Linked DNA regions of Drosophila melanogaster. The protein of the gene in region 1 interacts with the protein of each later gene in a biochemical or structural test. Each region holds a gene or a part of one and is shown in the gene's direction. Other genes may lie near its edges.

Evidence for each region.
Region 2: the proteins of Tctp (region 1) and tefu interact in a test that uses a peptide from one of them, tested with the Drosophila melanogaster proteins (one study listed by BioGRID).

What each region holds. Positions count from the first base shown.
Region 1 is NT_033777.3:11,208,412-11,212,403, forward strand, and holds Tctp (translationally controlled tumor protein), read left to right. Parts: upstream 1-1,835; 5' UTR 1,836-1,969; coding exon 1,970-2,488; 3' UTR 2,489-3,487; downstream 3,488-3,992. Other genes in the region: cu (curled), read left to right, coding at 1-45; SdhC (succinate dehydrogenase, subunit C), read right to left, coding at 816-1,329, 1,387-1,388. UniProt on the Drosophila melanogaster protein: Involved in calcium binding and microtubule stabilization.
Region 2 is NT_033777.3:15,239,007-15,244,039, reverse strand, and holds the start of tefu (telomere fusion), read left to right. Parts: upstream 1-1,803; 5' UTR 1,804-1,819; intron 1,820-1,877; 5' UTR 1,878-1,896; coding exon 1,897-2,097; intron 2,098-2,155; coding exon 2,156-2,264; intron 2,265-2,315; coding exon 2,316-2,501; intron 2,502-2,559; coding exon 2,560-2,780; intron 2,781-2,836; coding exon 2,837-3,181; intron 3,182-3,242; coding exon 3,243-4,346; intron 4,347-4,400; coding exon 4,401-4,578; intron 4,579-4,635; coding exon 4,636-4,805; intron 4,806-4,856; coding exon 4,857-4,983; intron 4,984-5,033. UniProt on the Drosophila melanogaster protein: Serine/threonine-protein kinase which recognizes the substrate consensus sequence [ST]-Q. Required to suppress spontaneous apoptosis of proliferating cells during development, and for their proper differentiation. Required for female fertility.

The sequences.
Region 1 (3,992 bases):
AATGAAACGGAAGTGGAGGGCAGCAAGCATGGATCCATTCAATAGAAAGCTTCAGATTCATAATTTGCCGAAAAAGAAGTTTCAATAACATTACATCGATTGTGATATTAGTTGTTAGATACATATTAGCCTCATACACAACCGTTGCACTACAGTTTGCAGCTTTTACAAATGATAATCCAAAATTCACAATAAATAAATTACAACGTATGGAAGAAAGTTAACTGAACTGCATTTTCTATCCATATAACAATGACCTCTTAAAAATCAAAATTAAGGATATACATATTTTATATAGATTCTGTACATGAACTGAATCCCCCATCTAATAAAAAGATTCTTCAGTTCCGAAGTAAAAGGATCTTTAGAAGACTTTTCTATAGTTAGGGAAGCCAAAGAGCTACTCTTAAATAAATACATTTTCGGAGCCCTTTTGCATTTGGTTTTAATTTTTCATGTAAATTTAAGCCTATAAAAAGTATTCCCTACTTTTGGGCGCATGTAAGTAATATTCTGCTATCGGAAATCGCTTGTTCGGGGCGTATACTTGATTTCGCTGTCAATGGACCGCAAGATGTCTATTTAACCGGCCTCCACACTGAATTCACTCTACAAATCACCGAAATCGTTAAAAACACGCACACCGTGCAAATTGCAGCGCACAACAAACGTATGCAGCACGCCCAAAGCAACAAAATGGATTGCGTAACACAACAAACACCTTTATAAATATACACACTACATGTATTTAGTATATAACAATTTTCACACAGTGTTCGCACTAAAATGTAATAGGTTTAGCTGGGGTCTTGGACTTAGAGCAGGGCCAAGATAGCGGATAGCACGAAAGAGGTGGCGACCATTGCGTAACCGGTGGAGTAAACCTCCTTGATCTTCAGGAACCGTCCGGTGTCCCAGAGGAGATGCCTAATACCATTGGCGGTGTGATAGCCAGCCGGATAGGCGATGATAAACTTGAGGGCGGTCAGAGTGGCGCCACTCAGCTGGAGGCCCTCCACCATGGTCACATAGTGGCTAATGTCGTGGGACGAGATCAGAGCGCCCAATCCCAGACCCCAAACACCCACACCCAGGGCCAATCCTGTGCCGCGGTGACAGATCGAGAGCATGGAGGTCAGCTGCGGTTGGTAGATGGTCAGATGGGGCGACAGCTCCCTGCCCAAGCGCTCGTTCTTCTCGAAGAACGACTCGTCCTTCTGGGTTTCGGCCACGGAAACCACCTTCATCGATACCGGGCGGCTGGCAGCGGCCATCTGGAGGCCCTGGCGCAGCGCCGGAGAGCGGATCAAAGAACTGGAGAGTGCATACCTGCAAAAAGCAGTCACAAATCAGGGTTTTTGCAGTGCCATCACAGAAATTACGTACATTTCCCTGTTTTTCACTCGAACTTGTATTGATGGGACCGTACACTGACTGCGCGATATTACCGCAAACAGGGATGCCACTACGTTGGTAAAAAACAAATAAGTCTCGAAAGTATTGATTTTATATCAACTGTAAAACATTGTTATTACTTTATATGATTAATTCTGTTCCCACTTTTATATTATTCCAATTGAGAATATTACACATATTTATCTTTTTTACTGAAACAGTCTCAAATTATTAAAAGTTAGAATGGCCATAAATATACGTAAGAAACATCAATATTATAGCTATAATAATTTTGTTCGCCTTGTTAATATTCCCTGCTCTTAACTAACAATAAATCGAAGAAAACATTGAAATTATCGATACGTGTATAGTAGGCGCTGCCACTCCCGGATCAATCGTTACCACTCCCAAGCGAGTTGGCAGTTCTTTCGCCATTTTTTCTCGCTCATTCTTTTTGCTGTTCGAGTGAGCGCGTGGCAGGTCGTTTCGCAGTGTTCCCGGTCCGGTGCAGTTGTAGTTGCATTTTCGCCAGCGATTTAGACGCCATCTTCCGACTCCCGACAAGCCAATCACCATGAAGATCTACAAGGATATCATCACCGGCGACGAGATGTTTGCCGACACCTACAAGATGAAGCTGGTGGATGATGTGATCTACGAGGTGTACGGAAAGCTGATCACCCGCCAGGGTGACGATATCAAGCTGGAGGGCGCCAACGCATCCGCCGAGGAGGCCGACGAGGGCACTGATATCACCTCGGAGTCTGGCGTGGATGTTGTGCTTAACCACCGACTGACGGAGTGCTTCGCCTTCGGCGACAAGAAGTCGTACACCCTCTACCTGAAGGACTACATGAAGAAGGTGCTGGCCAAGCTGGAGGAGAAGTCGCCCGACCAGGTCGACATCTTCAAGACCAACATGAACAAGGCCATGAAGGACATCCTTGGCCGCTTCAAGGAGCTGCAGTTCTTCACCGGCGAATCTATGGACTGCGACGGCATGGTGGCCCTGGTGGAATACCGCGAAATCAACGGCGACAGCGTGCCCGTGCTCATGTTCTTCAAGCACGGTCTGGAGGAGGAGAAATGCTAGATGGATCCCAATCCCCCAAACAAAACGGAACCTATACTCATGCATACCTTCTACACACATATACATATTTATCAGATGCTTAGTTACAATTTTGAAAGTCTTAAATTTATGTTTAAAAACGCTGACAAAAATGCCTGTCTTCGATCAGTGCGATTTTATATCTAATTTCTTTTTACCGGAGCGCTTATAAATTCGACATTGTATGTTTATTGTTTAATCACAGCGAGCTAAACAATTCAATTGCGCCACCTATTGTAATTAAAATAATAATTTGATAGCAACACCTACAAATTAGTATGCATTTTCGCTAAGATATCAAAAAGCAACGAAGACCGAAAATGGGAACACCAGTACTGAAATTAAACGGAACACCTATACAAAACAACTGTGAATCCGCATGTCTGTACTTCTTTCCAAATCTGCAGTTATGCGTAGGTAGACGCCGCCATATGGCGGCGTGAGTGGGAACGAGAGGGCGCCACCACCGTCTGAGTCACAGACTTCAGTTAGTTTGTGTTGTTGCTGCTTTTTGGGGCAATCGCGGAGTTATTGACCTTTGACAGTGATGTACACATGCCCCGCACCAATACCGTTACCGTCATTGGACATTTTGGAGGTCATGCGCAGTGGAACACGATTTTCTGCACGTTGCAGTTCGACTTGCCCCAGTTTCTCACGTTGGCTTCGCCCTAACCTCAACCATGCTAATGAAATGCGCCGCTCTCGCTGGAATTTGGGATTCTATAATCTAATTCCAGGTCAAGCAATACGTACGTCTTTATCTGCTTGAAGGGCGGGGCTCTGCGCCCCAGGTGCTATTTCCATTTCAGCGAAACGTGTCGACCTGTTGCCGTTCGTCGCGTGAGAGATGCGCACAGTGGACACTCGTTAGGGCGAACGGCGATATTGTCTGATGTTCGAAAACAATTTTTTTGAAAAGCACAATATATTTTCCTAAAATTGTAAAGAATATTTTATTCAAGTATTTGAATCTAGTTGAAATAGAACCATTTTCGGGATAAAAAGCTAAAAGTTTTTCTTCGCTATTCTCATACATTGTTGAATTTAATGGTTTTTAATATACATACATATGTGTCTATTTATGTACCTTTCCATTCTTATGAAGCGTTGTTGAAATGGAGTATTGTTCCAAGAAAACTTTTTAACAATAAGGAGAACAACAAGCTATACAATTCTGGTTTATTTTGTGGTCTTTCAAATTAAATTATATTTTTGTAAAGAAGTAGTAAACTGGGCAGTTCAATAGCAGATTATTTTCAATGGGAATCTTTTGTAAATAATTGAAATAGGTTAATCTAATCGAATATGTTAATTGGTTATTTGTTTGTACCCAACAAAAAACGAATGATAAGTACCCATCCAACCGGAATTAAAACTTCTTTCAGTTCGGTTTACGTATAAAAATGCTAATAACAAATTAAATTTTATTTCGTTCATAATTTTGATGCTTCAAACTGTGGCAAAAACGATTCACCAAATGCAC
Region 2 (5,033 bases), 4.0 Mb from region 1:
GTTTCCTAGTGAAAACGCCATATTATTTCGCCTTTTTCAGCGAGCATTTCGTTTTCATTGTGCCATTTATGCCGCATGTTTATCTAAAACGGCTTGCCAAAATCGGCGAATCACGAACGGTGACTAATGCCAACCGATTCATGAAAATGGCAAGATCAATGCTGGATCGATGAGAATTATAAATGGCGACCGAGCAGCTGCCACCTTTTTCTGCAAAGTGCGCAAAAAAGAGAAGAAACCGCATGGACAAAGGCGAAAATTCTGGAATGCTAAAAACGCAAACACACGCGCCCTCACAAGCACACACACACATGCATATACTTAAATATATGTAAACCACGCTGCTGAAGCCAGGTCATTTTGGAGGGTGATTCGTATGTGCGAGCGAGGGAGACAACCACTGTGTCCGGGACGGCTTTGCGTGTGTTGGTTTTACCCGCTCACAAACACACGTGCCCGCACTTTGAATGCCGGTTGGCAACGTGTTTTTTTTTAGCTAAGTATATTTAATAAAAGGCCGCATAATGTATAAATTTATGAATGTTAGTTCTATTTATAAACAATGTTTATATGCCTTGACTGTATGTAAGGGAATCCAACATGTTTCTATAGCAGTATAGCATTAAAATTAAATGATCAGACATGCACGCATTTTTGTGTGGTTGTGTGGGGGGGGGGGAAGCCTCACATTTTTCCCAAGCTGGAATATTCCAGCAAAAGAGCAATGGCACTCAAAATAAATTACCAATTACGATGAGTAACTTGGACATTGATTTATTGGAAACAGAAACAATAAAAATCACAAGCAATGTCAAGACCCCGCAACGGATGACGCAAGTTTTCTCTCACACATACTCACTCAACCGAAAGTAGACTGTGACTGCAGTGAGTGGGAAGCGGCACGTTTTCCAGTGGAATATTCCAGATAATCACAATCAAGCATTAGGCATCAATATGCAATTAGTCAGAACTTCCAAAGTTTCTAGAATCTTAATTTGCCTAATTAATAGGCGCTCTATGATGCACCTTTGCAATTATGTATGTAAGTGTGCATCGAAGCGTTACTCACTGGGGTCGAAAGTTCGAGAAACCTTGCCTTCTTTGAGAGTATTGATTAAATAGTAAAGGGGCTACAAAAAACACGTGGTTTGATTTCAAATTATTTTCCGGCAAACTTAATCGAGGTGGTCGCACTTTTTTTAACAACGAAATAAATACTAAAATGTAAATAAACGCTTACCTTGTGTGTTGTTTCTTAGAAAGTACTAAAATATAACCGTTTAATTGCTACTTCACTTTTAATCTGCCGCACCTTCGATCAAACTGGCTGGCGTTTTTTTCTGAATTACACCCGTACAAAATTTGCGAATGCCTTTTATATACAAGCAAAAGTGTTACCAAAGCCATCAACAATTTTAGTACTAAATTCCCAGGGGTGTAACCGCAAAATTCTTGGCCACCCTAATAAGCGCTTCACACAGAAGTCCAGAAATGTTGACGCAGAACGTTCACACCGAAACTGTAAAGTCGTAGAAATTGGCTAATATGTAGTAGAAGCGCTGAACGTAGCTTGTTACTTTAAAAACCACATTTCCTATTCCTTTCTTAATGAATATAATTCATAATATAGGAATAATTAATGAAGGAACAGTGGAATATGGAACATGGGATTTTTTTATTTATAAATCTTTCGTTATATAAGGTTATTCTAGTTCTCCATCGGCACTTATTTGACGCACACGGCTGCCCAGCCATTTAACAACAGTGCTGTTCTTATTGATCGTGGTATTTTTTGGCGCTCTGGCAGAGGTCACTCTAAGTACATTTTGAGAGATCATTTTATGTTTAGTTTAATAATTAATACAACATTACAACAGGTTATGCCGGGCAGCCAGGATGAGTGCACTTCTAAACGAAATCCAGCGGATACTCGGGGACCTTCAGTCGGGGAAGGCAGCCAGCCGAAACAAGGGCATCCAACAGCTGGATGAAAAGCTCTCAAGTTGCCGAGAGGATCTGGATAAGTTGTTTCTTAGCAAAACTTCGGATATATCCTGGACCACAATCTTTGAAGCGTCGAAGGAGGCTCTCTTTAAGGTTCCTAGCCATTATCGTTAAACAATCAGTTCCATTTTAATTGTTAACCTAATGATAGCAAGCTGGAAATCTGGAGGATGTCAACGAGAAAGTATTCAAAACGCTGGCGGGAAAAAACTACTTGTACGATAATGTCCTCGAGAAGATCACACAATTCAACTTGGAAGGTAACTCCTAAACACTTAAACACGTTATTAAAGCTAACCTGTGATTTCCAGCGGGGTCGCAGACCTCCGGAAATGGGCATTTCCTGGCCAAAACAAGCATATTTAGTGCATTCGAGGATGGCATCAAGATGCGAGTGGTAGTCAAGTATTTTGGCGACCGCATTCTGAGCCTGCTGGAAAAGGGCATTTACTCATCGGTCAGCTATGTGCGCGACCTTAAAATTAACGAATACAGTAGTAAGTTACTTTCTGGCCCAAAAGAGACTCTTTTTTTTAATTTGATGATGTATTACAGGGATTCTCTCCTATCTTTTTGAACTGAATGTCGATATGGACGAGGTCTTGCGAACCAGAATACTGAAATGCATCACAAGAACCGTCAGTTTGGCCAAGGACCGGGTTCAGCTGCACGTGGATCTAGTGGAATATCTGCCGGAGCTCAGCAGCTTTGCGCTCTCCGCTTTTGGAGCCAGAAAAACTGAGATTGTTCGCGTCTACTTAATATTTGCATCAGAGGTAGGACTCTTATTATATCTTTAGATAATGTTAAAAACTTTGCAACAATCTTTCAGCTTGCTGTCAACTACAATCACCAATTGAACGTGCACATGCAGGAGATTCTACCTAAACTATGCGAGTATCATGACGAGGATGCGTTCCGGGACGACACCAGAAATCTGTTCTTTCAGTGCGTTTCAAAGTCGCTCCATTCAATGTATCTCAAAATGGATATGTGTGACTTTAATACACTCGGTGTGCCTGTTCATGAAAAGTGGCCGCAAACTTTACTGCGGCTGAAAACTATTGTCAATGTGGAGATCCGAAAGAATTCCTGGGCTCGCTGCAAGAACGCACTACTGAGCAATAATAAATTTTCTGACCCCTTCATCAAGATGTCTGCCCTGGCTATGTATATAGTACGTCGCATAAGCTAGTAATATTTAATATATTTAATTTTAATTATATTATTATTTGCAGGTGCTTTGGCACTTGGAGACGAAAAAGGCTGATGAAAATGGGGAAGGCGATGCGCCGAAAAAGATCCCGAAGCCTGCAGATAAAATGGAAACTATATTTAGTCTGATCGACAAAAAGGAAAACACCTTTAACGACGTCTGGCTTGCGATATTCACTGAGATACTTCAGCTGAGTAGCGTGATCCTAAATGTGGCCAACTACCAAATGGCGCTAACCACCGTGGCGGAAATAATGCAAATGTACGGCAATGCGAAAAATCTCCGGAACCTTCGGTTATGCCTGGCTCATCTTTTGACTAAAGAACAGGAGCTTTTGCACTCTAAATCTATTCGGGAGGATTTTCTGGGTGAGCTTTGGAGTCAAATGGCAAACCAGCTCATATCAGAGACAACAACAAACAGTGAGGAGATCAAGGAGAAGCAATTGGTGCTGCAGATGCTGATCAGACACAATAAACTAAATCAAAAGTTGTCCAGCACGCTGCTTAACAATATTATCTCGAATGAAATGCTAAAGCGCAACGAATGCTTAGCGACGATTCGAGAGATCTTCATCCATGCTGATAAATGTGGTCAAGATAAGGCGTCCGCTGACTTAGAACCCATCATAGCTTGGGCATACGGAAGTGCGGATAGATTCATCGCCGCTCAGATGATACACAATATAGACAGTATTGATGCCCAGTTGCAGGCGGATACTTTTGCAATCAGCATTATAAATTTTTTGGATGTCCAGCAATTGCGACAGATCTCTCAATCAGAACACATTGTTCCTTCCACCGAACGCAATCTTTTGGCCTACAAGTACAACGAACAGCTTATTTGCTTTGACAAGGACTACGCCACTCCTTTTGAGTCAATCACTCACATTCAGAGCGAAACAAAGAATTGTTTGATTCAATCCAATTATGATTGCCTAATGCGAGGCCTTAACTTTGAGATCGCGAAGGAGAACAAACCGGCGGCAATAATAAAAAACCTGAATAGTCTATTAAAGTTGATCTGCACAATGGAAAGGCTTTTGCATTACAAGGTTTTCGATGCAGATACCTATACTGGCTGTCCACTTATAAAAAGAATTGGACTATATCTCAGCCACATTGAGGTGGGTGCCAAATGAATAATCTTTCAAAAACTCGTTTTCTAATACCCATTTCAGTTCCAGCTCAAGGCGAACGGAGCTGAGATTTTAGATAAGAGCGATTTACCAGAGATTTTACGTCTGGAAATCTATGTACTTGATGTATTCAGGACGAATTTAGTCTTACTCGATTATTTGGAAAGGCAACCCATTGAAATGTTGGTGGAATTTGTTGGCGCTGCTCTCAAGTTGCATTGTAATGTAGTTTTCAATTAACGTATCGCTTTAATAATTGAAGAGTGGAATATTTTAGCCATGCAGAGGGAGCGATCTGTAGATGCAGATCATGGAACAATAACGCGTCTGTGCCTTAATATTTTGGCTGGTCTTTGTGCGTACAATTCGCACCGGGATGAAGCATTCGAGCACATAGTAAAGGTAACGATGCGTTGGCATCCACAGGATGTGCTTATTGTGACCAAGGTAGGAGTTATATCGTAACCAAAACAGAAATAATTTTGAAATCTCTTTAAGATGTTATGCAGCTGCCAAACGATTTCTGAAGCATCCAGCTCTTGGTTAGTGAGCAAATTGAAGACGCTTTTCCAGCAGCATCATCAGGATGCGGAATTGATGGACAAAGTGGTTCAACATATGCCCAGTGAGCTTATATATAATAGAACAATAAACACAGTGCAATCAATTCATTTC